Mus musculus: one gene and its partners. The protein of the gene in region 1 interacts with the protein of each later gene in a pairwise test. Links are inferred from orthologs where the notes say so. Each region holds a gene or a part of one and is shown in the gene's direction. Other genes may lie near its edges.

Region 1 (4,580 bases):
GGGGAGGTAGGATGGATGGGGTTTGGGGTGGGTAGGCCATGGAAGGGGAGAAACCCCTCCCGGGTACCCCCTCTTCTCTGACTGCTGCCCCCTACCCAGCCTTGTCTCTTCACTCCTTGCGTTTGGTATTGAGAATTCTTCCCAGACTCCAGACTCGATCTTTCTTTTGTATGGACAGCTCTCCTTCGGTCTAACCCTCTACATACACCCACCCAGCCGGGGCCAAATTTATACTTATATAAAAGTTGTAAATATGTGAAATTTTATCCCATGCCCTTTCCTCTGCTTTCCCCATCAGGCCTTACCCTTGAACCTCCTCCCTCCTCTTTGGCTGTTGTAATTATCTGGGGTTTGTACTGTACATAATTGGGGAGGGGGGCTGGGAGGCGACCCCTCTGTACAGAGCTTCCTGGCTCCCTAGCCCCACCCCTCACTTCCCTCCCCACCCACCACCTTAAGAGTAGGGAGAAGATCTTCTTACTCTTTTTTTTTTTTTTTTTTTTTGCTGTTTGTTTACTCGTTCTCCTTCCTGCCCCTGCTCCCAGACTCTTGGTCCCCCACCACTGCCCCCCCTTTTCTCCCACTCCCAGGCCCATTTCCTTTTTTTTTTTTTCTTTTCTTTTCTGGAGTGTGTGGTGAAACAGAAAAATCATGTTTAATAAACGGAGATTGTTCTTTTATCACTGGGCTGACTTTTATTTATTTTTGGATTTTCAAGACAGAGAGTCTCCTTGTGTGGCTCTGGCTGGCCTGGAACTCTGTAGACCAGGGTGGCCTTGATTGAACTCAAGAGATCTGCCTGCCCCTGCCTCCAAAGTGCTGGGACTAAGTGCTGCCTCCCCCGGCGTTGGGCCGACTTTTTAGCCCGGGGTCTCCAGAACGACCTGAAGGGTGACAGGGACTACTTTTGGAAAGAACAGTCCTCTTACATTACACACTATACCACCCAGTCAGGAGAACAATATATACCGCAGGGTCTTCCTGGTGAAACTCACACTCCCGCTCTCTCTCCGCCGCAGCACTGGACTCGCTTTAGCGCCCCAAAGACTCCAAGTGCAGGGTCTGTGCAAGACCCTCTTGACTTAGGGCTTAATTGTGAGGACGCTCCTCTGCGAAATGGAGGAAAGGACCCAGGTCCTCAGCAAGCGTGCGCTCCAGACTTCAGACCCGGTTGTCCCGCGTGCACGCGGAGGGCAGCAGCACCTACCTCGCGCGGCGGGACGAGGGAAGCAAGCCTTACTGCGGAGCCCGTGGCTCCCCTCACTGCTACTCCAGAACTGAGGGAACCGCCTTCCACTTCCGCCGCCCTCCCCAAGCCCCGGCCCTCCGTCCGCACAGCCAATGAGGAGACGGCTTGTAGGCTGCCGCTCTCCCATTGGCTGCAGAACTGGTCCCGCCCTCCGTGCCTGGCCGCATTGGCGTCCGGCGGAACTGCGGTAGCTTCCGGCCGGCCAGGCGCACTGGCGGTTGAGGTGCTCCGACGCGGTCGCGCGTGCGGTGGGGGCGTGTCGGTGGGACGTCGCGGGGCCGGAGCTCACTGAGCCGGCCGGAGCGAGCACGGTGAGGAGGGGCGAGCGGTGGCGGAGGGCGACCGGAGCCGGCGAGGTGGGGCGCCATCCCTTCCCTCCTTAGCTTCCGCTGGGCCTGGAGGTGTAAACCCTGGTGTTTTGTTGGGTTTCCTGGTGGGCGGAACTAATATACAGAAGCTTGTCACCGAAGAGTTTTCAAGGGTCGGTGGCGAGCGGCTTGAGACAGGTCTCATACCCCGAACTTGTGTGACCCCAGTCTCTTTCCTCCGCAGCCTTCACCCCGTATAGAACCCTGCACTGCCCGACTCCCCGGGATTTATTTCTCTTCCCGAGGTAGCCATGGATGCTTCGACTCCTTTGCCTCCCGCATCCTCATCTCCGAGATGCAACCCAGCCCCACAGACAATCCACATTGAGTTCCCTCATCATAGCTCTTCGCTGCTGGAATCCCTGAACCGCCACAGGCTGGAGGGAAAGTTCTGTGATGTGTCCCTCCTGGTTCAGGGCAGGGAACTTAGGGCTCACAAAGCAGTGTTGGCTGCTGCCTCTCCTTACTTCCATGACAAGCTGCTTTTGGGGGATGCGCCCCGACTGACTTTACCGAATGTCATCGAGGCCGATGCGTTCGAGGGACTGCTTCAGCTCATTTATTCAGGAAGCCTCCACCTGCCGCTGGATGCCCTCCCTGCCCATCTCCTTGTAGCCAGCGGCCTTCAGATGTGGCAAGTGGTAGATCGGTGCTCAGAGATTCTTCGAGAACTAGAAACGTCTGGTGGGATTTCAGCCGGTGGAAGAGCCTCCAGCCTCACACTTATTTCCACAACATCTTCAGGAGGCTGGTGCATTCGCTCTTCCCCTTTCCAGAACCCAGTACGCTCCTCTGCTTCTACAGAGAATTCTGTTCTCCCTGAGAGCCCCGCTGGAGGGGAGGGGAGTGAACTAGAAGGAATGTTACAGATTCAGGTGAAAGTAGAGGAGGAAGAGGAGCAGGGGTCAGCAGCTCCACTCTTTCAGACTCCTCAGCCGGAGAGAGTGTCGGGAGGGGTTTCCCAAGCTTGTGGATCCCACCCATTGCCTACACCTGCTCTTCCCAGCAAGCCTTCAGAGGATGAGAGCTCAACAGTAGATCCTCCTGCCCCTCCTGTACAAGCTTCCCAAATCTTATATGTGAATCAGGAAAACGTTGAGTGTAAGGAGGAGATAGCAAGAGGCACAAAGGAAAAGACCAAAGTACTATCTGGAGAGGACTCTGAGGAGAAGGAGGAGCTGAGATACTTGCTGTCCTCAGGAGGAGGGGAATCGTCTGGGGCAGGAGATCCATCGTGGAAACCAGTGGATCTTCATGGGAATGAAATCCTGTCAGGGGATGGAGGACCTGGAGGAACAGGGCAGGCTATGCATGGGCCTGTGAAGCTAGGAGGGACACCCCCTGCAGATGGGAAGTGCTTTGCTTGCTTGTGTGGAAAACGGTTTGCAGTAAAGCCGAAACGAGACCGACACATCATGTTGACGTTCAGCCTTCGCCCTTTTGGATGTGGCATCTGTAATAAACGTTTCAAGTTGAAGCATCATCTAACAGAGCACATGAAGACCCATGCGAGAGCTCTGCATGCGTGTCCCCATTGTGGCCGTCGATTCCGTGTCCAGGCCTTCTTCCTTCGCCACCGGGACTTATGCAAGGGCCAGGGCTGGCCCACTTACCACTGGACTTACAAATGACTACTGGTGCTCTCTAGTGATTTCTAGGACAAGATAGCCCCTGCTGCTGCTGGACTCTTACCTTCACCACCTCAGTCCTGGATTGTATAATCATTCCAAGAGATTATATATATTGTCATGAACCCCTTACTCTTGGGTATGGGTCTCACCCTGGTAGTCCAGGTTTAGACAGACTTTAGAAAATCATGCTTCTGGTCACTTAACCTAAATGGCCCTTTTTGTATTGATAGCCAGTGAAGGAACTGCTGAGCTCAGATTAATGAGAGAGGAGTTGGGGCATAGTCACCCAGTAACTCTTAACTTCATCTTCATGGGGGGGAGAGGGAGCTGGTCTCCAACTAGGAATGCATTTGATTCAGAGCTCAAGTAATTGCCAGACTAAGGTCTGAGCGGCTTCTCCCTCCCTGTTAGCAGTATTCTGTTTCTGTACTTTCTGTCATTTTCCAGATGCTTTTTAGGTTCTCACCAGTATACACCTTTCCCAAATATCCTTTTAAAAATACTTGAGTGGGGCTGGAGAGATGGCTCAGTTATTAAAAGCACTCTGCTCTTCTAGAAGTCCTGAGTTCAATTCCCAGCAACCACATGGTGGCTCACAACCATCTAAAATGGATCTGATGCCCTCTTCTGGCATGCAGGCATACATGCAGACAGAGCATTCATACATTTAAGAAAAATGTATTTGAACATGCAACAAGTGTGGTGCACACATTTAATTACAACACAGAGGAGGCAGAGGCAGGTGGATCTCTTCTAAGTTCAAGGCCAGCCAGGGCTACACATGGTGAGACCCTATCTTTAGGGGTAAAAATAGTACTTGAGCACTTTAGCAAACTGAGCATTTCATATTCTATTCTGAAAGTCCATAGTAGAGTGTATTCCCTCAGCAGCCTTCACCTTGTCCGCCTTTCACTACCACTGATAACTTGCTTATGATCACAATGACAGATATGACCCACGAACTCAGGAGATGGCAGGTGACCTACAAAGCTCTCAGGGTGGCATTTGCTCTCTGAGCAGATCGCCCTGCTTAGAGGAACTCAGGGTTGAAACCACACGTGGTGAAGTCTGCAGAGGAGCTACAATGGGACCGTACTGCTTTCTTCACCCACACTTGGTAGAGGTAGAGGGGTAGATAGTAGAATGGAGGTGAAGGGAAATTTAAGGTTGTTAATAAACTCTGCCCTGAAATCTAAACTGACAGTAGACTGGCTTGAGTGAGTGCTGTGGAGATGCAGAGCTGAGCTGCAGGAGAGCTGAGCTGCAGGAGATGAGTGTGTTCCTTTCCCAGCCAGTTACATCAATGGGAGAAGAGTGAGCTGGTATCAGAGA
Region 2 (3,994 bases), on another chromosome or scaffold:
GTTCCAGGACAGCCAAGGCTATAGAGAGAAACTCTGTCTCGAAAAACCAAAAAAAAAAAAAAAAAAAAAAAAAAAAGGAAGGAGAGAAACAATTCTTTTTTTTTTTTTTTTTTTTAAAGATTTATTTATTTATTTATTTATTACATGTAAGTACACTGTAGCTGTCTTCAGACACTCCAGAAGAGGGAGTCAGATCTCATTACGGAGCCACCATGTGGTTGCTGGGATCTGAACTTTGGACCTTCGGAAGAGCAGTCGGGTGCTCTTACCCACTGAGCCATCTCACCAGTCCAAGAAGCAACTCTTAAATGTTGTACTTTGACTTTCATACGTGTGCCATTACATATATACATCCGGCATATACGTAACAACATCCCATGCTTCAAATAAGTAAATGTAACAATAATTTGTTTTGAAAGGGGACGTTCTTAAGAGTAATTCTTGGTATACTTTTTCTATTGTACTCTCAGCTGATAGAGGTCACAGGGGTCGCTATTTACAAAGATTCAAAGCATCAATTACTTAATACAGGTGGAATGAGTCAATCAGTTTAAATGTCCAGTTGTGAGGTGACACTGTCCTTTAAAATTTCTGACAGTTTATATTCTTTGATTTAGTTCATCTTGTTGATATCTGGAATATGATCGAAGCTTTCCGAGACAATGGCCTTAACACGCTGGACCACAGCACGGAGATCAGCGTGTCCCGCCTGGAGACCGTCATCTCGTCCATCTACTATCAGTTGAACAAGCGCCTTCCTTCTACTCACCAGATCAGCGTGGAGCAGTCCATCAGTCTCCTACTCAATTTCATGGTCGCCGCCTACGACAGGCTCGTACCTGCTCACTTCCTTTCAATCCTGCCCTTTTCTTCATCTCCCGTTTCTCACCCTGCCTTGCTAACTCTTGTCAGCCTAGAGCCGCACTTGAGGTGAATTGCTCAGTGTAAGCCCTTCCTGCATCCTGGACAGCCAGCCACTCACTGTCCTCTGGTGTGCGTCAGCTGGAGCTCCACTGTAGATGCAGTGGAGGAGACTCACCCACCTGAGTCATACTGTCTGGTGAAATGATAGGCCTGTTCCCAAGGAATAAGAAACGCTTAACCTATCTTTCTCTACTCTGTAACACCAAATGCCTTTGAGTTGAAGTTTTTTCTTCATAAACTTCTAAGAATCTATTTCAGACTTTTTCGGTAGACCTCACAACATGAGCGGGAAACTACCTTAGCGTATCATAATTAAAATGGAGATGAGTTCCTCTACTGTAAAAAACCAAAGCAAACCAATCCTAAGGGATGGGATGCTGAGAAGTGGTTCTGCTCCAGGAACCAAGAGTTCCTGTTTCTTCTCTCTGGTGTTGTGTTACCACTGGATTTGCATGGGAATGCTCCCTGCTTTGTGTTTTTTTCTCTTTTATTTTATTATTTTTTAAAAGATTTATTTATTTTATGTATATGAGTACACTGTAGCTGTCTTCAGACACACCAGAAGAGGGCATCAGATCCCATGGTTGTGAGCCACCATGTGGTTGCTGGGAATTGAACTCAGGACATCTGGAGGAGCTGTAAGTGCTCTTAACCACTGAGCCATCTCTCCAGCCCTGTCTTTTTCTCTTTATGTTGAATTTATAAGCTAGTAAAATGGTAATAGTTGCATGTTACAGTAGCAGAGATTCAGTGAGTTAGTGAGAAAGTATGGGTGGGACAAAGCCAGGCCACGCATTAGGCTTTCCCCAGAGCCATAATATATTTATGTTGCAAGTTGGATATTTTTACCCATTCGATAGAAAATTACTTAAAGAAATTTGAATTTTAAAAATAAGAGTCTATAACAGGTAAAAGTCCCAGAATCGTAAAGTCATTTAAAAAATAGGGTTATGAATCCAAACATTAATCTCATACTCCGTGATCTAGAACCCAGGGTAGAAATTGCTACCCTTTGTAGATCTCATCATGTCTCTAACCCAGCGATTCAGCCAGTTCCAGGCTTGCACAACACAAATCAGATCAATAAACAATTTTTAAAAATATAGTAATAAAAATTACCTTACCACTCGAAAGGTGAGTGGGGATTAAAAACACTGATTCTGGCTGGGGAGGTGGCTCAGTTTTATGAAAAGTGTGGCAAAAGCAGGACCTCAGCATAATCTCAGAGCCAACTTTAAAAATGTCAGGCTTTGTGGTTCCCAGCCGTCATCCTGGAGCTGTAGTTTGAATCCCACCAGTTACACAGAAAGAAGGATGTGGCTGCTTATGGCCATAACCTCAGTGTTGGGTGGGCTGAGATAGGTGGGTGCTGAGAGCTTGCTACCCAGCCAACCTAGCACAGCTGTGAGCTTCCGACTCAATGAGTGACCCTGTCTCAAGGCAAGAAGGATACAGTCTCCCGATGTCCTCTGGCTTCTGTGTGTGCATGCATGGCCTCACACCACTAACACACACACTTGTGTGCAACACACACACACACACACACACAGAGAATAGCTAGATAGTTTATCAGAAGAGACAGAGAAGGCTGGTGCTGTGTAGAGCACCCTAGGTTCAATCCAGGTCCTGCCAAAAGAGAGGAGGTGGGCGGGGGAGGGGGAGGGGGAAACATGTCTGAATGAGCAAGCCAAACAACTAGCAAATGCAGAGAGAGGGGCCGAGGAAAGGCAGGAATGTGCTGTGCTAGAGGGGAGCTTGGTAATTTTCAGATCAATAAGGGTGTCAGAATATATTATTCACATCTTTATTAACTCAGATCTATATATGATAAGAATCATTTATCTCTCCAGAAATTTAAAATTGTCTTCTTTATACTGGAAATAACTAGGGATCTGATAATTTGACTTTGTTTTTGTATATCTGTATATCAGAGCATTTAGTGTTAAATCCTCATGTTAGCCATTTTATTGAGTGGCACTTTTATGATTTAGGCTGGGCAGTTCCTTTGATGTGTGGATTATCTAGTTACTTATTTTAGTCGAGTCTTTCATACTTTGTATTTATAATTCTCCAAGGTTAAAGATTGAATTCAGAGCTGGGCATGGCGGCGCACGACTTTAATCCCAGCACTTGGGAGGCAGAGGCAGGTGGATTTCTGAGTTCGAGGCCAGCCTGGTCTACAGAGTGAGTTCCAGGACAGCCAGGGCTACACAGAGAAACCCTGTCTCAGATAAAAAAAAAAAGATTGACTTCAGTAATTAGTTAATTTTAACTCCTTTCACCTCCAGATTTATAGTTAGTATTTTTGTCTAAATGATTTCTCAGTGGCATAGTAGATGATAAAACTTCTACACAGATTAGGAACAATTGGGGTTTGGATTTTGTTCCTTAAGTGAATAATTTCTTTTTTTTTTTTTAAAGATTTATTTATTAATATATGTAAGTACACTGTAGCTGTCTTCAGACACTCCAGAAGAGGGAGTCAGATTTTGTTTGGGATGGTTGTGAGCCACCATGTGGTTGCTGGGATTTGAACTCTGGACCTTCGGAAGAGCAGTCGGGTGCTCTTACCCACTGAGCCATCTCACCAGCCCAAGTGAATATTTCCTGAGGATTCATTGTTTTTTAAATGTGAGAGCTCTAAGTACTACGTGAGAACTTAAGAACCGCTGGACCGTACAGGTGTCTGTGTGTGGGACAGAGGGGAAACCACAGGGAGCGCTGGAAACCCTGACGAACTCATGTTCAACCCCACGGTCCCTCACACCACAGGTGCTGATGGCCTGTGCTCTGGTCGAGCAGGGAAATTCATGTTCCTGGCATGCAGGGACAGCAGGGCTGCCTCAATTCCTTGCTAGGCTTACATTCTGGGGCTTTTACATACAACGTTCTTTCTGCTTTCTGCCTCTATGTTAGTGTCTTAGATACCAGGCTGAGAGAGTCCGTGATGCCAGGAGTCTGCAGGAATGCCAGCCCTGTGCTGCTGCAGTGGCTGGCTCTGGCTGCCTTTCCTCAGGCTGTTCCTCACTTAGTCTCTTGTGTCAGCTTTATCATTGTGCTGACTTCAAGA
Region 3 (3,994 bases), on another chromosome or scaffold:
TCTCCTCCGAGCTCGGACCTCTCTTCTGAGGTTCTTTGCTGCAGAACTGCTTCTCAGAGGCCGGCTTGGCGGGCTCCGGAGAGCTATTCTGGCTCGTCAGAGGCTCACTGATGGACTCACGGCTCCCTTGGGCAGCGGCTTTGTCCTTTGACCCACACAGCCTTAGCTCAGCTATTTGCTTTGAAATTCCCCCACACTCTTGGTGGGTCAGGCCATCTCCTGGCTGGGATGCAGGCTGCTAACACTCAGATTTGGCAAGGGCTTTTTTTTTATAGTTGTAGACAGGAAGAGTGTAGGGCTAGGAGCCCAGCATCCCTATGTCTCCGGACATGTGCTGCTAAGCCATGTGACCTTAGGCAGTAGAAATGACATTTTTAAAAAAAAGTGACTCCCCCACCCCCCAACTATTTATTTATTTATTTATTTATTTATTTATTTATTTATGGTTTTTTGAGACAGGGTTTTTCTGTGTAGCCCTGGCTATCCTGGAACTCACTCTGTAGATCAGGCTGGCCTTGAACTCAGAAATCCGCCTGCCTCTGCCTCCCAAGTGCTGGGATTAAAGGAGTGCGCCACCATTGCCCAGCTTATTTATTTTCTTATGTGTTTATTTTATGTATGTGAGTACACTGTAGCTGTTCTCAGACACATCAAAAGAGGGCATCAGATCTCATTACAGGTGGTTGTGAGTCACAGTGTGGTTGCTGGGAATTGAACTCAGGACCTCTGGAAGAGCAGTCAGTGCTCTTAACCAAGTTGACCCATCTCTCCAGCCCAGAAATGACCTTTTTACTCAAAACTTTATTTTGGCTCCCTCAGAGACTCTAAGAGGGCTTCAGACCTTCTAGAGCTGGAGTTACAGATGACTGTGAGTTGCCTCATGGCGCTAGGGATTGGACCTGCGTTACGTGTCACAGAGAGGTGGGCAGTCTGGTGTCTGTTTTGAATGTCCAGTTTGTTCATATGCCCCACTTTAAGAAGAAGGAAAGAAACGTGAACGAAACTAACAATCTAGCTCCAAGCCAATGCCGCAGCTATCTAGAGACAGTTCACTCCCAGACAGTGAGTGGGTAGAGTTGGCACGAGCAGATTGTAAGTCCTATGCAAACCCAGTTGGTGCACAGCAAGCCATCACGTCCATGTTCACTACCACTGCTCGCACCACCATGCCCAGCTAATGCTCTCTTTGGGTGTATTTGGATGTCAGGATTTTGAGCCGAAGTGACTCCATCTTTGTTTCCTTTCTTTTGTGTTCTACGTAATTATTGCAGGTCCTCTGGAAGAGCAGCTAGTATTTGTAACCATTGAGCCATCTTTCCCCTCATAAGATACTGCTTCTTTATAGGCATTCAACGTGTGGCCTCCCTTTAGAGCCCTCTGGATATGACTTAATGGGGCTATTATTGCTCTGACACCTTCTGTCTTAGGCTTCTGCATTGTGTGTACGTGTGGGTGTATGGGGGGCTTGTTTCTGACCAGGGGCCTCAGGCCGGGCAAGCTCATCTTCATGTCCACCTGAACCCAAGCTCTCCTTTTCCTCTTGGCCTCCAGGTGCGCTACAAGGAGGAATTTGAGAAGAATAAGGGCAAAGGTTTCAGCGTGGTGGCAGACACGCCTGAGCTGCAGAGAATCAAGAAGACCCAGGACCAGATCAGCAATGTGAGACCCTGCCCTGATGCCCAGGCTACCCTCTGCCCTCCCTTCTCATCCTCTCCCTGACAACCTCAGCAAAGGCCCACGCCGCAGTGGTCAGATCAGAGGCAAGGGGGAGGGAGTTGAGGTACCCGGGAGCCTTTTCTTTGTTCTCCCTCTTTGGTGGGCACTCTGCCCAAATGGCATTTCCTCCTTAAAGAGACTGCTCTTTTAGAGGCAGACAGATAGACACACAAACACATACAGAGTGTCTAAGTCACCTTCCATTCTCTGGAGCAGACCCCGTTCCCTGGTCATGGTGGGGATGGGGTCGGAGTGCAGATTAGATGCTTGTTTTTAGCACCAGGGTCAAAGCTGGGGTTGGGGGTTGAGCCTCCTGTCTGCCTCTGGGTGCTAACACAGCAGTCATTTCCGCCCTCCCTCGACTGCCTCCCACCTCAGTTTGTTCTTCCTTCCTGTGTGAAAACCCAGCTGGCTTTGCCCACAGGCCCTACACCCCCTCCAGGCCCTTTCAGGCCCAGTCAGGGACTGGTCATTGGTGTCTGGTTGTGAGACATAGGCGTGGAGAGTGGGTGGCGGAGTGACTGTCTCTATATGGTTCTGTAGAGCAGCTGGGGTTAGGGATCATCGCTCAGTTCCACCCTTACATAGCCGCAGACCAGCAGCTTGTATGGCTCCGGGTTTGCAGGGGCCGGGTTGGGAGTATGTGGGTAGGTGCTGCTGGGCGTGACGTCACAGAACATGGGCACAAGCCTGAATGCCGAGTTATAGAACATGCCCCGTCATTGGCAACAGACTCCTTATAAATGAAGGATGAAGCAGGCCGATACGATACCCTCGTGTCTATCACAGGAAAGGGTCTACCAGTTTGCCTGTGTCATTCTGGGCTGAGGGACTAAGGATGGGGAAGACAGGATCCAGATTCAGGTGGCTCGCCTTGCACACACCCTCCAGGATCATCTCTCCCCATTCTGTCGCTGGACAAGTCTCATAGCTCACTGGTCTGCGCCGCCCCCCCCCCCCCCAAACACCCGGCACAGAAGCACCCTCTTGCAGGGTGGTTAACGCTCTGATTCTGCCCTCTGTCTTGTTTAGTGGCACACACCTGTAACTCCCAACATTTGGGAGGCTGAGGCAGGAGAGTCATGGATTCAAAGCCACTTGAGGCTGAGGCACGATCAAGAGGTTGAAGCCGTCCTGGGCTTTATAATAAAACACACGCATGCGCACACACACCCTCTTTCCCATGCACACGAAACAAAGAAAACTTCTTAAAGGAGGGAGGGCTGAAGTTTAGTGATAGAGCGTGCACAGGGCCCAGAGTCCCCTCCCTCGCACTACAAAGAGGAAGCATAAGTGACTGCTTTTTGGGGGGGTGGGGGTGGAGGGGGGACTTGGAAAGTTCATTCAGTATTTTCTCTTGTTTCATTAAAAATGCTGGGGGCAGTCCAACCAAGTGGGCTTTGCAACCCAGTTGTTGGGCTGAAGTTTAAAATGAACAGCCTGTTGAATGACTTCTCCTGAGCTGGAGGGCCTGCCTCAGAAGGCTGCAAACCCTTCTTGGCCCCCCAGGAAAGCCTGCTGCAGTTTGCCCTCTTCCAGTCTGGGCCTGGCTCACACCCTGGCGTTTCCTTTCTGCCTCAGATCACACAAAGGGTAAAAGGGTGTGCCCGGAGCGCCTCAGATCGAAAGAGGGGAAGTGGTGTGGTCTTGGGTGATTGGGAAACTGGGATGGCTCACAAAGGTGGAATCATGTGGCTTTGTGTCTTGAGACGCTTCCGGTCAACCTTTGGGACATTTCATTCATTGATTTACCGGGTTAGTTTGGAAGAGAGAAGTAGCCCTAGCCATCTCTGCCTTACTTTCTTGGAAGGTTTCCCGAGTGTCCTAACACCCAGTCTCTTTCACCTACCTTCCTGCACCCTGTTACTCGACGTTGGGCACATTAAATGCCTGAGGAGTTCTGGTAACAAAAGCCTACAGTAGCCACCGTATCTACACTACCGATAGCATCTTATCAGCCTCTTCGGAGAGGCAATTAGCTGATTGCCTTGGTTCGAGGCTGGGGGAGGTGCTTTGGATCTGCCTGAGCTGGCAGGTGTAAAAGCCGGAAGTCTTTCTCCTGGTTTTAGGGAGTGTGACCAGGGTCTGTCTCTGTCAAGAGTCCCGCACAGTCAGCTGGGCTGCAGAGCTCCAAGGAAGAGGGCTTAGCATCCACAAGGACCCATGGGTTCAGTTTTCTCCATACACAAAGGATCCCCTTCTGTCATCTGGGCACTGAATGAAAACTCAGGCCTCTGTCTCCCAGCATTCCAGATTGGCACCCCTGGACCGGAGCCTA
Region 4 (4,435 bases), on another chromosome or scaffold:
CTTGGAGAATGTTCTTGTGAACTTCAGAAAAATCTATATTCTGTGCTAAGTGTGGTGGTGTGTGATTAGTCCTAGAATTTAGGAGAGTGTGGTAAGAGTCCAATACCAGACATGGCTACACAGTGGAAACTGAAGTTCCTAGAGAAAAGAACAGGTACATCTGTATGGACCGTTCTATAGGACCAAATGACGGAGCTTTGTGGTTGGGGTGAGTAAAAATGTTACAGAGGAGAGACAAATGACCTTGAGCTACTTTTAATCCCATTGAAAACAATTCCTTGTCTTCCCTTGAATCTGAACGAGAAATCTCGTGGTTATCACAACTTTTCAAATACATACTTAACAGCGAGCATCTATGAATCCAAAAGCTAAGAATGTCATCAGACAGTATCTGAAACCTAAGCAGAAATTTCCTCATCCCACTACCTGTAGTCTCTATCAATAGATTTAGTAAATGCTTTGACTTAGGACTTTCTTTGTTCTGTAACTACTAAAATGTCATTTGACCACTTCCACAAAAGAAAATATCTTTCTGGACAACCTGAATCCTGGACATGGTCACTCATATTTGACTCAAGAATGAATTGTTGGAGCTGGAGAGATGGATCAGCGGTTAAGAGCACTGACTGCTCTTCCTAGAGGTCCTGAGCTGAGTTCAAGTCCCAGAAACCACATGGTGGCTCAAAACCATCTGCAATTGGATCCGATGCCCTCTTCTGAGGTGTCTCTGAAGACAGTGACAGTGTACTCACATATATAAAATAATTATTTTTAAAAAATTAAAATTACATTTATTTATTGTGTGTGGGAGTGCCTGCGCCTGTGAATGCCGTGTAACACATGTGGAGGTGAGAGGAAATTGCAGAAATCGGTTCTCTAGTTCCATCCTGTAGGGCTCAGGGACTGAACTCAGTTCTTCAGGCTTGGAGGCAATTGCCTTTATCTGCTGAGCCTCGCAAATGTAGGTTTTCTCGCCCTCGCTATTCTTTTCTCCTTTCCTCTTTATTTCAGCTATGCTTCCTAAGTACTCTGCTCCAGGTTCTCCTTTAATTATTAGGATTTACTGTGGTAAGTGGTAGCATCTACCACTGATGGCGTTTCCCACTGTTCTGGTCTTGCTGCCAGCCAGATTGGCAGAAAACTAAACCACGTTCTGAGAATCGGCTTTTGGCTCCTTTTGCCTGGTGAGGTCGCCCTAGCGATTGGGCTGCCTGGGAGCCACGTGATCTAAACGGATGATGGCGGGCGCCGCTGAAGATGTGCGTGTGCTCTTCGGAGCTGCAGTCCGAGCTGCGCTGGAGGCTTGGCCTGCTTTACAGGTAAGTGAGGTCCTGGCGGGGGGTCACGATTAAGGCTGTGACAAAATAGAAGTTGACCAGGCGAGGCGCCAGAGCCATGGCTGGGCGGTGTAAGCGGCAGACTCCCAGGCCCCGGCAGGCCACGCCGTTCTGGTTTCCATGCTGTCATGGTTGGCTTGGGCCTGTGTTCACAGATCGCTGTGGAGAATGGCTTCGGGGGCGTGCACAGCCAGGAGAAGGCCGAGTGGCTAGGGGGTGCAGTGGAGGATTACTTCATCGCCAATGGTGAGTGAATGTGAGGTGTTGCTGTCTGTCGCAGTGTGGCGTGGCAGAGCCTCGACGTAGAGAGCCCGCGTTTGATGAATGAATCGTGACTTTGAGATCAGAATTGTGTCTTTAGAGTGCCTTAGAGGCAATGACACTCAAATGCTATTATGCTGGAGAACGCATTTTGCCTTCCAGAGAGTCATTTTCCTACTTTCTAAAATGGTTATGGAAAGATCCGACGAAAAGAACTATTCGAGTCATATCTTGTAACTTAAAATTGCTGGATGAGGGGTGGGGGACAGCTCCGTGGACAAAGGCCAACAAGCATAACAGTCCGAATTTCATAGCTGGGACAACATGGAAGGAGAGAACTGGTACACGCTTAAGGTGTCCTCTGATTCTCCCTACACAAGTAAATATAATTTTAAAATTGTTGGGTGAGGAGTGTAGCCCAGTGGTAGAGCACTTTCCTAGTCTGCTCGTGTCCCTGGGCTCCAACCCTGGTGCCACCAAAACTAAAAGCAGTACCTCTGATAAATAAAAGGCAGCCAGGCCCTGTGGTGCAGGCATGTACTCTCATATTCCTGATGCAAAAGGACCTCAAGTTCAGATTCACCACAACCTTGTCTCATAATAAAAATAATATAAAGACTTGGAGATATAGCTCAATGGAAGTGCTTGCTTACTACACACATGTGAGGCTCTACACTACTCATACTACCACAAATGAATAAATGAATGAAAGAAGCAAATATTATAGTGTTATTAAATTCATATCCAAGGTCTAGCATATGGGCCATGTTTGTGATTCTAGCACCAGGGAGACGGAGACAGGGGAATTGCTCTAAGTTTCAAGCTCCATATCCCCAAGTTGTCCTTATGATAAAAGAAGGGGCTGGAGAAATGTTCAGCTGTTAAAAGTGCGTCCTGCTCTTCCTAACCTGAGTTGGGTTCTCAGCTCACAACCACCTGTAACTCCAGCGCCAGAGGATCCAAAATGTTCCTCATCTGTACACATGTGCATGCACATACATGTAATTAACAAATAAGTAACACAGGGCTGAAAGGATGGCTCAGCAGTTAAGAGCATTTGTTCTTGCATTGGACCTCGGTTCCGTTCCCAGCACCTACATGGTATCTCATAGTTATCTATGACTCCAGTTCCAGGGGTTCTGATATCATCTTTCTGTCCTTATCTGGGCACCAGGTACACACAGTGCACACACAGGCAATCAAAACAACATGCACATGAAATAAATACAACAAAAATCCTCTTCCAAAATATTTTAGTATGTCATAAGAATTAAGCATTTTTCACTTTTAGTATTAAATTTCACAATCTGGAGTTTATTTATTTATTTAGGTTTTTCAAGACAGAGTTTCTCTGTGTAGCCCTGGCTGCCCTGGAACTCACTCTGTAGACCAGGCTGGCCTTGAACTCAGAAATCCACCTGCCTCTGCCTCCAGAGTGCTGGGATTAAAGGCGTGCGCCACCACGCCCGGCACAATCTGGAATTTTAAAAGTCTTAGTACGTCTCATTTGTGACCAGCCACATTCTAAGTGCTTGTGCTCGATAAGCACATGCTGCTGCTTCTACACAAAAGTTCTACACTTCCATTTTGTCTTGGTGGGGTATAAAAGAACAAGAGGACTTAGAGTATTGCATGCTGTTTTTTTTTAACTCTTCATTAACATCCTAGGTTTTTTTAAAGATTATTTTATTTATATGAGTACACTGTAGCTGTCTTCAGACACACCAGAAGAGGACATCAGATCCCTTTACAGATGGTTGTGAGCCGCCATGGGGTTGCTGGGATTTGAACTCAGGACCTTTGGAAGAGCAGTTGGTGCTCTTAACCACTGAGCCATCTCTCCAGCCCCCAATATCCTAGTTTTGAGGATGGTATTAGGCAGATTCACAGCTCAACATTTACAATCTAGTGAGTGATTTCAGGTAAGTAAATGAATAGTTAAAATACTGGGTGGTGTGTGTTATGCTAAAGAGGAGCTCAGAATTCTTCAGTTAACTGAGCCTGAGGAGAAGCCTTTTTGATTTGATTTTTGTTTTTTGGGTTTTTTTTTTTTTTTTTTTTTTTTGAGACAGGGTTTCGCTATGTAGCACTGACTATTCTAGAACTCTTCTGTTGACCAGGCTGGCCTCAGACTCCGAGATCTACCTGTCTCTTGTCTCCCAAGTGCTGGGATTAAAGGTGTGCGCGCCACCACTGGTCAGTAAGAGGCCTTCTTAAGAGTAGCGATTAGAGTGAGGCCTAAGGAATGAAAAGGGGGAAACTAGGTAGAGATGATAAAGCATGTACTCAAAGGAGTTAAGTGCATTATATTAAGGGGATGGAAGAGTGGTAGAGAATGGTGTGTGTGTGTGTGTGTGTGTGTGTGTGTGTGTGTGTACAGAGACACTGACTAAAGGGTAAGAGATAAAAGGCCTTCTGTGACTTTGCTTATAGAGATAGAAAGCCAGTGTCTGTAAAATTCAAGCTATAAAAGACTTGTCTCGTTAGATATTCAATGAAGAAAATGTTTCTCCAGTCAAATTATAGAAGCTTTTTTCTTCCAGCTGCTATTTTATTCCTAGTAGTAGTAGTAGTAATTGGAGACAGTATCTCCTTCTATAGCTCAGGCTGCCATGGAATTTATGTTCCTCATGCCTCATTTTCCTGAGTGCAGGGTTATATAGGTGTGTGCCATCAGTCCTGACTCTGTTTTCCATTAGCTTTTTATGGAGATCTTCCCGTAAAACTCAGCAAAATTGAGCTGGGAATGTAACACAATTGGTAGAGTATTTATCTAACATAAGAGGTCCAGGGTTCAATCCCTAGAGCCACATTAACCAGGCATAGTGATTCATGCC
Region 5 (4,668 bases), on another chromosome or scaffold:
GACCAAAATTCATCCAGAAGTCATAGCATCATAAAACAAAGGGGCCCACGAGTCACCTCCACATCCAGCAGAGACTATTCAAAAGCTAAATTTAGCTTAGGTTGGTGGGACAGGCCTATAATCTAGCATTCAGTAGGCAGAAGTGAGAGGATTGGAAATTTAAGACCAGTTTGGGCTGCATAGTGGGATCCTATCTAAAACAAACAAACAACAACAACAACAAAATTTTAGCCTGGGGTGTGGCTCAACCATAAAGCTCTTGCCTGGCCTTGGTGAGGCCATGAATTTGATCACCAGTATTGCAAAAACAGACAAAAACTAAGCTGAGTCAGATAGCCAAGATAGGACAGTGATCTCATGGAATAGAGGGAAAGATGTCATATACGAAAATTATTGGTAGAGGAGGGGAGGATTGTGGGGGAAAGAGAAAAATGTATCCAAGTGGCACATGATTCCCACCACTTGAGAGGCAGAAGCAGGAGGACATAGTAAGTTCCAGAACAGTCTAGGCTACTAAGCAAGACCTGGTCTCAAAAAGAGAGACTGAGTGAGAAAGAGAGATCAAGAGCACATTGGGATGCAAATTCAAAAGCTATTCATCTTAAGTAAACGCCCCCAGTTAGTCATCGACTATGAAATTATTTCTCATGATACTCCATAAGCAGATACTTTAACAACACCATCTCGCAGAAGATGGAAACTGAGCCCAAGAGCGTCTTCAAGGTCACAGGACTAGTAGAAGGGGTTTTAAAGCAGGTCATGTGCCTCCAGAATCCAAGCTTTAAATTGCCTTATGCTGTGCTGTCATACAAACTTTGAGCTGGAAGGTGGTGGCACATATCTTAAGCCCCAGCAGTTAGAAGATAGAGGCAGGCAAATCTCTGTGAGTTCCAGGACAGCCAGGGCTACATACAGAGAAACCCTGTATCAAAAGAAAAAAGAAAGGAAGCAAAGAAGGAAGGAAAGAGAAAGGAAGGAAGGAAAAAAGAAAAGAACTCTGGAAAAATACAGAGACATGAATACTATATAGATTGACACGAGTGGTCACATGCTATCCTGCTGAACAGCATTAATGCCTTGTTTGTCTTTTAGGTGCATAGATTATGTTCTCCAGGATATATAACTTTAAAAAATCACATTCTACATCTTGGTCTATAATCTTCCTTAAGGCTATTTCTGTACACACAGCTTATAATCGTTATTTTAAAATTAATTTAGGCTGCTTCCAATGTTTCTCCATGACAGACTTCTGCCTGTCACAGGCAATGGGATGATAGGCTTTAAAAAAAAAATTCCATCTTTTGTACCCCATCAACTACTGCTGCAAAAATATAAACAAACAAGTAAGTAAGAAAAGCCATTAGGGAGTGCAGGTCTGTGTCAGTCGGAGAGAGGACGGAAGAAGGCCATTATCTAAACTCCCTCTGCTGTCCCTTTGTCTAGAATCCCCAAAGCAAAAGCCCACGCCAAAGAACTGCAGTGGCCTGAGGCTCGCACTGCGCATGCACAAAAAAGTGGGCGGGGCGAGAGAGAGCAAAGAACAAGTGCAAATGAGGGCAAGTAAAAGCTTTGAAGAACAGAATAGAGGCTGCGCTTTCTCGTCTCTGGGCAACCTTTGTTCCCGCCTCCCCGTAAGGCTTCGGCTTCTCATTGGTCTAACATCTCTAGCTCCTATAGGTCAAAGAACCAAAGGACTGGGTCTGTTCCAAGCTATGCCTGATTCTGGAACCGCAGCAGAAATAGTTGATTGTGACGCTGCTTTCAGGCATTGCGGAGGACATACCTGTGGGGCCTGAGGGGTCCTTTTGCTAGCACCGGAACAGTTGCCGGAGAGTTCATCCGCCAGCTTAAGAGATGCCGCCGAAGGGGAAAAGTGGTTCTGGAAAAGGAGGGAAAGGTAGACCTGCCGAGACAGTCATGGAGCGAGCGTAGGGGTGGATGGGGAGAAGGACAGGAGTAGACCTGCAGCTGTGTGGGGTGGGGGAGGGAGGTGATCATAAGCCGGACAGCAGGGCCACCGGGAGCACCCTGAGCCGCTGTGGTTTATGTTTGGGCTTCTTGTGGTAAGGAAAGATCAGTGCGTGAGGAGCTGCTGTGGTTCAGGGTATCCATGAGGTTTCAGTGCAGGGACCCTCGTGGCGGGCAATAGAAGCTGCTGGGGATGGTTCCTCGTGACCTGGGGTTTATTCCCACTAAAATTGAATCTGATGAAACGCCAGCAATAAAAGGAAGCCTACACTAGTGATCAATCTAGTCCATCTAGGCCTCTTAACAACTAACAGGACGTACCTCCCCCCCCCTCCCCTCCCCTACACACACACATGAGGAGGGACTCGCTTCTTGAAGACCGTTGTTGGGGACAACATTGTGCTTTCAGGCTAGAAAACTAAGACAACTCTTATTCATCGCTGGACAATGTGGGGAAGATAGTAGCCTCTAAGTACTGTGCCGAATGTAGTTGTGAGAGTTATGTTATAGAAGGTGGAAAGAGGGTAAAGAAACAAACTGGAGATACTTTGGGCAGGCTGAGATAAGCAGCAGCAATAGGGTAAAGAGTCCTCAACCCGGAGAGGCCAGCCCCAAAGGCAGTTTAGTATAGCATCGCTGAAGTAAAACTTCAAAACAAATAAGCAAGTTGGGGAAATTAAAACAGAAGAAAACTAAATCATGAGGTGTGCTGTATATGGTGTTAATTAAGGTTGGTTAGGGGCCAGGAGGTCCTTTAAAGAGATGATTTCAAGCCGGGCAGCGGTAGCGCACACCTTTAATCCTAGCACTTGGGGAGGCAGAGGCAGGTGGATTTCTGAGTTCGAGGCCAGCCTGGTCTACAGAGTGAGTTCCAGGACAGCCAGGGCTACACAGAGAAACCCTGTCTTAAAAACAAACAAACAAACAGAGAGGGGAGAGTAGTGAGGGAGAGAGAGAGAGAGAGAGAGAGAGATGATTTCAGTAGTTCTGGTAAGAGAGAGAGTTGGCCTGAACTAAGATTGTGGTTGTAGGAACCCAGAGAAGAGACAAATAAATGGAGTGTAGTAGAGTGATACCCCAGAGGTCCAAGGAACCAAGATGTTGTAAAGAAAGGTCTGAGAAATGGGTGAGGCACTGCAGAGACATGCCACAGCAGTGGGAGGCTGAGGAGGACCTGAGTGTGAGGTCACCAGGGGTACACTGTCCTTTAGCTGCTCAGCTCCTGTTCATCCATCAGGTGGTACCTGGCTAGCTGACATATGTGTTCCCTTCCACAATTTCTCGCTTGTCGGACTCTCAGAATGTGGTCTCTCTTCCTCACTGGGATACGAGCTCCTTGGCTGCGGCTTTGAATCCTATTCACTGTGTACCCCCAAGAACTTGAACTGGGGAATTATTTAGGAAACAGTTGTTAAACTAAATACTTAATTTAATCTTAGACACCTTGGCCTCTAACACTTAATATGCTGCCTTCGACACAAAACTTAAAAGAAGTAAGATGTGCTACCAATGCTTGATAGCCTGAATGTAGCAGATTCCAGGAGGATATCAGTAGCTGTTGTGGTAGACTGAAGGGGAAAAGAATGCACACACACACACACACACACCAAGCACTCTGAAATAAAACCAAACCCCTCAAAATGCATTGTTGGAGATTTTGCATGTTAGAATTTCAGGTGTCAAACACACTGTCACAGAATATAATAGAAATTGTATTATTTTATATAATGGCAGTGTTAAGTTAGAAGGCAAGATTTGGAATGGAGTCTAAAGAATCTGGCCCAGGCTTCTGGAGTGCCTGCATCCATGCCCACACTCATTTCTTTATCTGTTTTCTGTGAAGTATTTTGTTCGGCACATTTCCTGTTATTAGAGATGAGTCACAGAGTAAGTTAACTTGATTGCATGACTCACCATGTAGCCTTTTGGAACTTGGGGCTGTAATGGATGGGTTACCTTGTGTTATGAGTTGGACCTATCTATAAATGTCAAAGTACAGTCGAAATGAGTTCCTATCCTCTCTTTTCTAAAGGAGGTGCAGCCTCTGGGAGTGACAGTGCTGACAAGAAGTCTCAGGGTCCTAAAGGTGGTGGCAATGCAGTAAAGGTGAGTTATCTTATGTGTCTCCTCTTTTCCATGTAAAGTATTAGTAAGTGGGTATGCATAGAAAAGACAGTGTGAGTAACCTGTCCTTATCTATGAGGCTTAATACTAAGTTAAATTCAAGATGATACAAAACTGGAAACCAAAAACCAGTCTCACTTTTAAAAGGTAGAATTTTCACACTTCTAGCACTGTTCCTTTAAATGTGTTAACTTAGCGACTGGGGTTTCAGCCTCGGTCATTAAAGTGCTTGAGAAAAGACCTAAGCCTAGTTGGTGAGTTTCAATCCAGTGAAAGACCCTATCTCAAAACGAAAAAGGGGGTAGATGGCACCCTAGAAAGGATTATCTTCTGACCTCCAGATGCACATGCACACACATTTGTTACTTTGACCATGGGTGGGAGATAGTCCCTGTCTTGGTTAGGGTTTTACTGTTGTGAACAGATACCATGACCAAGGCAAGTCTTATAAAGGACAACATTTAATTGGGGCTGGCTTGCAGATTCAGAGGTTCAGTCTGTTATCAAGGAGGGAGCATGGTAGCAATCCAGGCAGGCATGATGCAGGCAGAGCTAAGAGTTCTACATCTTCATCGA
Region 6 (3,994 bases), on another chromosome or scaffold:
TTCTCTAACAGTAAGAATCAGAGCTACCGCTTAATTCAAAGAAGGCCACATCTGTAGGGATGTTCAACCACAATAGTTCAGCCTGGGCCTGGTGGTTCATACCTCTTAATCCCAGCACTCAGGAGTCAGAGACAAGTGGATCTCTGAGTTTGAGACCAGCCTGGTCTATGTGTGGAGTTCCTGGGCAGCCAGAGCTACATAGTGAGACCCAGTCTCAAAACCAAATCACCAAGTACAGTAGCCAGGTTGGCCTTAGGCATTTCACTTACCAGTTCGTATCTCCAGGAATGGCAACCTTCCCCACTAGACAGAGCAATGCCCCAGTGGGTCCTCGCACTGTTATTTGATTTGTTTTATTTCCTTTTGATCCAGGAAGACATATTTCAACAGATGAAGCACTCAAGCTTGGAATTCTGGATGTAGTTGTAAAGTCAGACCCAGTTGAAGAAGCCATCAAATTTGCTCAGACGGTTATAGGTAAACAATAATAGAAAATAGTGCAAGATTAGGAATAAGCTAAACATGCATTCTAATAAGGAACTCCTTAAGCAACTGATGGGGCATTCACTTAATAGAATGTAGCCAAGCTTTAAACTGCATTGATCTGGCATAAACTCCATGGTATATTGTATCAGCTAACGAAAACAATGTTATTTTAAGTGGTGTTTTGCGGATGGTGTAAGGAAACAAGGGGGTGGGGGTGGAAGAGAAGGTAAATATGTTGAGAGTGGGTATGCATAACTTCTGTGTATGTCGGAAGCGTTCACAGGCAGGGGAATGACTCTTTCTGGAGTGGAACTGGACATTTGCTGAAGTTCAAAGGCAATGCTCTATACTTTACTCTGCCGTGCTTTGGGGGATTTTATACCCTATGAGTGGTTTTTTTCCTGCTTGAAAATTAGAATTAAAGTTGAAACAGAGGAACAAGTATGTAGCTGGTCAGGCTCTGCAGGGCTCTCAGAGACAGCACAGCCTCTGTCTTGGGCAAGTGACTTCTGGCCCTGCTGGCTTGTAGACCAGCGGTATTCCTTCAAGTGTGCCTTTAGCACCACCTACTGATAGATGGCTTATTGGGTTTTGTTTTAGTTTAGTTTAGTTTTTTTTTTGTTTGTTTGTTTGTTTGTTTTGTTTTTGTTTTTTACTTCAAGCTGCGCCTTTAAAGCTAGAAAAAATTGAAACCGTTGCTGAGGACGTAACCAGGAGCTGAGTGTAAAGCCAGAGTTTAGTTTTCACTAGCCTTCTTTCAAGAAAAATCACAACAGAAGCCAAATGACTTGACAACCTCTGTGGGAAAGTTTATGGCGGCTGCAGCCTCTGAGCAGGGAGACGCCACCCCATAATCAGCTTCCAAACGCTAACACCATTGCATACACTAGCAAGATTTTGCTGAAAGGACCCAGATATAGCTGTCTCTTGTGAGACTATGCCGGGGCCTAGCAAACACAGAAGTGGATGCTCACAGTCAGCTATTGGATGGATCACAGGGCCCCCAATGGAGGAGCTAGAGAAAGTACCCAAGGAGCTAAAGGGATCTGCAACTCTATAGGTGGAACAACATTATGAACTAACCAGTACCCTGGAGCTCTTGATTCTAGCTGCATATGTTTCAAAAGATGGCCTAGTCGGCCATCACTGGAAAGAGAGGCCCACTGGACATACAAACTTTGTATGCCCCAATACAGGGTAACGCCAGGGCCAAAACAATGGGAATGGGTGGGTAGGGAAGTGGGGGAGGGTAGGGTATGGGGGACTTTTGGGATAGCATTGGAAATGTAATTGAGGAAAATACGTAATAAAAAATATTAAAAATTAAAAAAAAGAAAAGAAAAGAAAATACTCATGAAGATTGTCGGACTCCACTTAGTGACACGGAAGGCTCGGGCCACTCCAAGGCATGCCCCTGGCAGGGACCAGTTTTTGAAATTGTTTTTTATGGTCCAACTAGTTGTAGGTTTGGTGTGACAGTGGCACTCACACTACAAAGAGGAGGTATCGATGGGAAAATGCTGCTGCCTTCTAACTAGGAGTCAGCAAGTCCTGCCCGCAATGGAAGCACCCTCCCTGCAGCGCCATGCCTCCCTGTGGCGCTCTGCCTCCCAGGCTACTATCACTGGTCTGTGTCTCTGTGCCCCAGGGAGGGCTGCTTGGCTTGTGGGCACCGACTTGTATAATTTGCTTGCAGAGAGCGCCCCAGGCCACTATTGATTTCCATTTGTAGCAGCCTGGGTTCCCATAGGAAGTTCTGTCCTTCCCTGGTTTCCCTGAATTCAGCTTCGAGGGTTGAGTGCTTCAGACAGGATTAGAACCAAGGTCTATCACACTTACACTATGGTCCAGGGTGTTTATTGGTTTGGTTTTTAAAGTTAATTCTAAACATTAAACCCCAAAGTCTATAAAACAAAATGATGCTGGTCTCAGCAACATTACAGTTTGTCCACTTGATGGCACCCCAACGTTGAGCCATCGTCTGCCTTAAAACTCAAGTTGCCTAAGGTTCTGGCTAGGGGCAATTCTTTGTGATGGTTTGAAAACTTTGTTGAGAAGAGTGGATGGAGGTATGTAACTTGCTTGTGGTGAACAAGTGTTTCTGTGGTGAGGCTCTGCCTGAGTGGTAAGTGGTGTGTGGGGGTGTGTTGGTGTGTATGTGTGAGAGAGAGACAGACAGACAGACAAGAGGAGCCAAGGATGTTTTTCCTTTTCCTTTTTTTCCTAGTGCTTTCCTTGGTCTTGCTTTTCATTTTACTGCTTGCTCCTTGTAATCTACCTTTTGTCTGTCTGTGAATATTTCCAAGGTATGGAGTGGCCTGACCCACACAGGAGGCCTCCTGTTGAGGTGCCTCGGGCCGTGAGTGGCCTTCCTAGAGTTGACGATAGGCAATTGTTCTCTCCGTCATTTGTGGAGTCTAACATGGGTGCAGCACATTGGGTCAGAGGAAGAGGAAAGGAGTCTTGAGTCTTTTGTCTCTAAGGAAACAATTTATGTGAGGTACACATTGAGTCTCTTTAGGCAGACTGCTAATCTCTTCCTGCACAGTTGGCAGAAGGGTGTGTGGGAGAGGACTACATTTGTGTCTGTCTGAAGTATGACCCCCTTGTTTTGTAAAAATTTGTGAGCAGAACCAAGGGTAGAAGTGGTCACAAGCCTGGCTGAGTCTGCTTTGGTCCAGCCTTCCGGTTTTTTGTTTTGTTTTGTTTTGTTTTGTCTTTTATGCTATGATGGCTCATTCTTGAGATGGTAGATCTTCTTAGAACCCATTATGTGGTGCTGAGTTTTGGTAACTGTAATTGGGTGTGTGTGTGTGTGTGTGTGTGTGTGTGTGTGTGTGTGTGTGTGTGTGTGTATGTGTGTGCGTGCTTGCGCATGCATGAGTGCATGTTTATCTGATTTTAAAATCATCTCATTGAATTAAGAAGATTATAGAACCATATGGTTCTGGTGCCTAGCTCAAGTTCCTTTGTTGGCCCTCCCCCTAGAAAAATGTATAGTATTAAGAGTTCAGTGAAATTATGGCTGGTTTTGAGGTGGGTGCTTGGCAGGGAACAGAGTTCATTTACTTATTTAGTACCTGTGTATCAGTTCTCCCACCTGTGTATCAGTTCTCCCACCTGTGTATCCAGTTCTCCCACCTGTGTATCAGTTCTCCCACCTGTGTATCAGTTCTCCCACCTGTGTATCCAGTTCTCCCACCTGTGTATCAGTTCTCCCACCTGTGTATTCAGTTCTCCCACCTGTGTGTCTGGTTCTCCTACCTGTGTGTCAGTTATCCCACCTTTGTAGTCAGCTATCCCACCACCTTTTGGAGGGAAGGGGGAAAAAAAAAAGACTCTTTTTGCCATGTGGACTATCTTTTCTCCTGTATTAAAAATCAATTTACTATACTGTAAGTCCTTATCAATGAACTTACAATTCTTTTTTATTGCCAATCATTGCCCCATATAACATTTCCCTCTGTTATGGTATTTTAAAGATTTTGTCATTATTAGGGAAAGAATG
Region 7 (3,994 bases), on another chromosome or scaffold:
GGTAAAAAGGAGGAGGACATGGGTCACTGGGTGTGGTCAAAGCCTGGTAGAGATGTGTGGAAATGTCACAGTGAAATCCTTAGTATGCCAGTCTTTAGTAGTGGATGTTGGGGAGGTGGTACTGGAGTGGGCATATGTTGAGATAATGAATACCCATCGTGTTATGAGAAAGGCAGAAAGTTGTGTTACAGCAACTTAGAATCAGCTAACTAGCAAAGAGTATACTGTGTGAGCAGACTTCAGAAGGTTGCAAATAATTGAAATTATGGTATTATTTTCAGTTGTGAAGGTGATAAAGAAATACACTTTAAAAAAAAACAAAAACAAAAATCCACAGTCTGGTTGTGTAGCCCTGACTAGCCGGGAACTCAGTCTGATAATGAAGATGATCTCTGACAGTTTTCTGTCTCAGCCTCCCAGTACTAGGATAAAGATTGTGCCACCACATCTGGTAGGAGTGGCACTGTAAAATGTTTATTAGGAATCAGAGAAATGGCTCATCAGGCACAGGCCTGATGATTAAGTTCAATCCTCAGATCCCACAGTGAAAAGGGAAGAGCCAGCTCTCTGAATGTTCTCCTTTGAGCTACACACCATAGCATACATGCTCTCACATTCTGTCTGTCATACACATGCATGATAGTAATAAGCATAATTTTAAAAATCAAGGTGCTGAAGAAGTGACTTAGTAGTTAAGAGCATTGCTATTCTTCCAGAGGACCAGAGTTTGATCCTCTGCACCCATGCCAGATAGCTCACAAACCCTCCTCTGGCCTCTGCAAGCACCCATGTGCACGAATGCATGTGTGCATGTATACATACACAAATAAAGTATATAAATGTGAACATAATATAAACAATCCAATAAAATGGCCTCTCAGCATTGTGACAATGAAGTACAAGTTTGCTGTGACTGTGAGCTAATGTTCCTTCTGCACTTCCCAGGCTGTTGTCCCTGGACCAGCAGAGCATCCCCTGCAGTACAACTACACCTTTTGGTACTCGAGGAGAACCCCTGGCCGTCCCACCAGCTCGCAGAGCTATGAGCAGAACATCAAGCAGATTGGCACCTTTGCCTCTGTGAGTACTTAGTTGTTTGCTGAAACATCCCTTGGTCTGGTGCTCCTACCAGCATTTCTGTTGCTGTGTAGCTCCTTTCCTAGTAACCTACTAAACACTCTAGTTTCTTTACTTGGCTGAGCTGTTTCCCCAAGGTCATGTTTGTTCAGTCCTTAGGTCAGTTGTTAGACATCCATAGGTATGTGCAGGTAATTTATGTGTGGGAATGGTAGCTCTGATCAGAAAGGCATATACAAAAATTAAAAGGGGTTTGGTTTGAGGATTTTTATTTTTATTGTAGCAGATATTTATTGAATCTTTATATACAGAGAGTCATAAGAGAGACAGTTTCATTGTTTATATTATCTGTCCTCATAAAATTGGATTCTGATAAAATTATTTTTGTGGCTGCCATCAATACAGTTGTTCAGGCTCCTCACCCCAGCCCACCCTTACCTTCCCTCCTGTCTCTTTACTACATTTGTAAATGTGGAGACCCTGAGTGCAATTAACACCAGTATTGTCTTGTTGACCAAAGGTTTTCCTGCACCCCTATATGCGATAGACATGTTTAGTCTCTGTGCAGAATTGGTTTTCTGACAGTTTTTGCTGTGTAATACGAGGCTGGTCTGGATCTTGCCACAGTTCTGTCTTAAGTGCTGGGATTATAGATGTGAGCTAACACACAAGCCATCAGTTTTGGTTGTCTACTATGTGAGAATGTTAGACCAGTTTCCAAGTACAGTTGCATTGCAGCCTTTATGTTAGGAACAATTGGTTAAACATTAGGATCAGAGAAGGAGCTGGGAAAGGCATTTCAGGGTTCTGTTAAGTTACATCCCCCCCCCCCCCTTATAACATTAAGAGGTTTGCCATCAGCACTCTCAGTATTCAAAATAGAGCCTGAAGTCTGCTGTCATAATTCATGGCATTAGGAAATGGTCTGTAGTGGAAGCAGTTGGATCTCTTGAGTTCAAGGCTTCCAGGTATACAACTAGAGCTACTCAAGAAACCCTGTCTTGTTGAAAAACCTTAAAGGAAAAATAGAAAGAAGGAAGGAAGGGCCTGTGATACTAAATCCCTTCCGGAGAATAATGATAACGTGAGGCTCTTCAAATCCAAAGCTGTAGTTCCAGTGTTTTGTTTTTCAAAGTTTCTTTTCTTCTTTTCCCTCCCACTACACCCTCCCCTTCCTTACCTTTTTAGAAACACTCTCATTATGCTGGCCTAGAAGTCACTATTATAGACTAGGCTGGCCTTGAACTCACCAAGGTCTTCCTGCTTCCGCCACTATTATCTGGCCTAAAGGTTTATTTTTCACTTTTGTTTACATGTTTGGGTATATATGCATACGTGCTTGTGGGTATCTCAGAGACCAGAAGAGGATATTGGGTTCCCTAGAGCTGGAGTTAAGGTGGTTATGAGCCTTCTGCTGTGGGTGCTGGGAATCAAACTCCAGCCGTCTGGAAGCATAGCAAATGCTCCTGACCATTGAGTCATCTCCTCAGCCCCCTCAGATGGCTTTTTTTTGTTGTTGTTTGTTTTTCCGAGACAGGGTTTCTCTGTGTAGCCCTGGCTGTCCTGGAACTCACTCTGTAGACCAGGCTGGCCTCGAACTCAGAAATCCGCCTGCCTCTGCCTCCCAACAGATGTCTTTCCAAAACTTGCACTGTAAGCCACAAGTAATATTTCCTGACATGGAGTAGAGGCCCAGAGAGGACCTCTAAAGCCATTGCAGCTCATGTTCTCATCTTGAATTCAAGAAAGGATCCACTCAGCACAGAGCCAAGGACCAGCCCAGATTGTGATCGTGTTTGTTTTGCAACAGGGGCTTGCTAGATCTCAGCCTGGCTCAGAACTTGTGATTCTTTTGCCTCAGCTTCCTTGAGCCATAATCCACATTCCTGGCACTAGAATGCTGCTCTTGCAGATTCCCAGGTAGCTCATGACTTCCTGCAGTGCCAGCTCCCAGGAATCTGATATCTTTTGGCCTTGTGGGCATGTGCACATAGACACAGATAGATACACATAATTAAAGATAAGATAAATCTTTAAAATAATAAGACATCTTTCAAAGTTTAATGGTTGTTTCTTTTTATTTATTTGTGTGCATGTGCGCATGTGCCCTCCCACCACCACCACTACCACCACCACCCAGAAGCCAAAAGAGGATATTAGATCCCCAGATGTTATAGTTATAGGCAGTTGTGAGCCACCCAGTGTGAGTGCTGGGAACCGAACTCAGGTCCTCTGGGAAGAGCAGCAAGTCCTTTCAACCCCTAAGCTATCTGGATTTCCAGCCTCTGGGCTTTTTGTTTGGTTGTTGTTGTTTTTGTTTGTTTTCTATGCAAGGTCTCACTATGTAACTCCATCTGGGTGATCCATGTCCCCTAGCTCCTGAATACTGGGATTATAAGTATATAAACATATTTGAAAGAAAACTATAAATCTAGTTTTCTTACGTTCAAGGTAAATAAAGAAGAGACATAATCTTTCCAGCTGAGAGGAGGGGTAGAAACTCTAGATCTAGTTCAGCCTGGGCTATAGTGTGAGGCCCTATCTAAACAAAATAAGAAAATTAGATTTGGCTCTACAAGTATATACATGTGAGGCCTTGTGTTTCCTGACATCCCTCAGTATAAAAAGTTTTCAGTTGTGCAAAGAGCTGGCGCTGTTATTACATGAGAGGTGGTACTTGTCAGCGTGGCCTCCTTTGCCACCTCAAGCTGCTAATGGAGGCCAGCAGTTTTCATAAACTGTTTTTTTAGATTTTAAATATTTTATCTGTATTAGTGTTTGGCTGAATGTATATCTGCATCACATGTGTACAGTGTGCATAGTCTGAAGAAGGTATTGGATCCCCTGGAACTGTCACTCACAGATGGTAGTGAGCTGCCACATGAGTGCTAGGAAATGAATCTGGGTCCTCTGGAAG

Evidence for each region.
Region 2: the proteins of Zbtb9 (region 1) and Dtnb interact in binary tests that used the Homo sapiens proteins (3 or more experiments, as listed by UniProt). The two-hybrid records come from large-scale screens. The link is inferred for Mus musculus from reciprocal best matches to the Homo sapiens genes ZBTB9 and DTNB.
Region 3: the proteins of Zbtb9 (region 1) and Lasp1 interact in binary tests that used the Homo sapiens proteins (3 or more experiments, as listed by UniProt). The two-hybrid records come from large-scale screens. The link is inferred for Mus musculus from reciprocal best matches to the Homo sapiens genes ZBTB9 and LASP1.
Region 4: the proteins of Zbtb9 (region 1) and Tsr2 interact in binary tests that used the Homo sapiens proteins (3 or more experiments, as listed by UniProt). The two-hybrid records come from large-scale screens. The link is inferred for Mus musculus from reciprocal best matches to the Homo sapiens genes ZBTB9 and TSR2.
Region 5: the proteins of Zbtb9 (region 1) and Pin4 interact in binary tests that used the Homo sapiens proteins (3 or more experiments, as listed by UniProt). The two-hybrid records come from large-scale screens. The link is inferred for Mus musculus from reciprocal best matches to the Homo sapiens genes ZBTB9 and PIN4.
Region 6: the proteins of Zbtb9 (region 1) and Ehhadh interact in binary tests that used the Homo sapiens proteins (3 or more experiments, as listed by UniProt). The two-hybrid records come from large-scale screens. The link is inferred for Mus musculus from reciprocal best matches to the Homo sapiens genes ZBTB9 and EHHADH.
Region 7: the proteins of Zbtb9 (region 1) and Eif4e2 interact in binary tests that used the Homo sapiens proteins (3 or more experiments, as listed by UniProt). The two-hybrid records come from large-scale screens. The link is inferred for Mus musculus from reciprocal best matches to the Homo sapiens genes ZBTB9 and EIF4E2.

Annotation. Positions count from the first base shown.
Region 1 is NC_000083.6:26,971,755-26,976,334, forward strand, and holds Zbtb9 (zinc finger and BTB domain-containing protein 9), read left to right. Parts: upstream 1-1,424; 5' UTR 1,425-1,560; intron 1,561-1,801; 5' UTR 1,802-1,868; coding exon 1,869-3,248; 3' UTR 3,249-4,449; downstream 4,450-4,580. UniProt on the Homo sapiens protein: May be involved in transcriptional regulation.
Region 2 is NC_000078.6:3,596,032-3,600,025, forward strand, and holds part of Dtnb (dystrobrevin beta), read left to right. Parts: intron 1-617; coding exon 618-831; intron 832-3,994.
Region 3 is NC_000077.6:97,823,291-97,827,284, forward strand, and holds part of Lasp1 (LIM and SH3 domain protein 1), read left to right. Parts: intron 1-1,551; coding exon 1,552-1,659; intron 1,660-3,994. UniProt on the Homo sapiens protein: Plays an important role in the regulation of dynamic actin-based, cytoskeletal activities.
Region 4 is NC_000086.7:151,093,313-151,097,747, reverse strand, and holds the start of Tsr2 (pre-rRNA-processing protein TSR2 homolog), read left to right. Parts: upstream 1-1,204; 5' UTR 1,205-1,235; coding exon 1,236-1,319; intron 1,320-1,492; coding exon 1,493-1,583; intron 1,584-4,435. UniProt on the Homo sapiens protein: May be involved in 20S pre-rRNA processing.
Region 5 is NC_000086.7:102,117,668-102,122,335, forward strand, and holds the start of Pin4 (peptidyl-prolyl cis-trans isomerase NIMA-interacting 4), read left to right. Parts: upstream 1-1,801; 5' UTR 1,802-1,854; coding exon 1,855-1,897; exon of another isoform or gene 1,898-2,063; intron 2,064-4,000; coding exon 4,001-4,074; intron 4,075-4,668.
Region 6 is NC_000082.6:21,766,899-21,770,892, reverse strand, and holds part of Ehhadh (peroxisomal bifunctional enzyme), read left to right. Parts: intron 1-372; coding exon 373-477; intron 478-3,994. UniProt on the Homo sapiens protein: Peroxisomal trifunctional enzyme possessing 2-enoyl-CoA hydratase, 3-hydroxyacyl-CoA dehydrogenase, and delta 3, delta 2-enoyl-CoA isomerase activities. Catalyzes two of the four reactions of the long chain fatty acids peroxisomal beta-oxidation pathway.
Region 7 is NC_000067.6:87,219,975-87,223,968, forward strand, and holds part of Eif4e2 (eukaryotic translation initiation factor 4E type 2), read left to right. Parts: intron 1-945; coding exon 946-1,080; intron 1,081-3,994. UniProt on the Homo sapiens protein: Recognizes and binds the 7-methylguanosine-containing mRNA cap during an early step in the initiation. Acts as a repressor of translation initiation.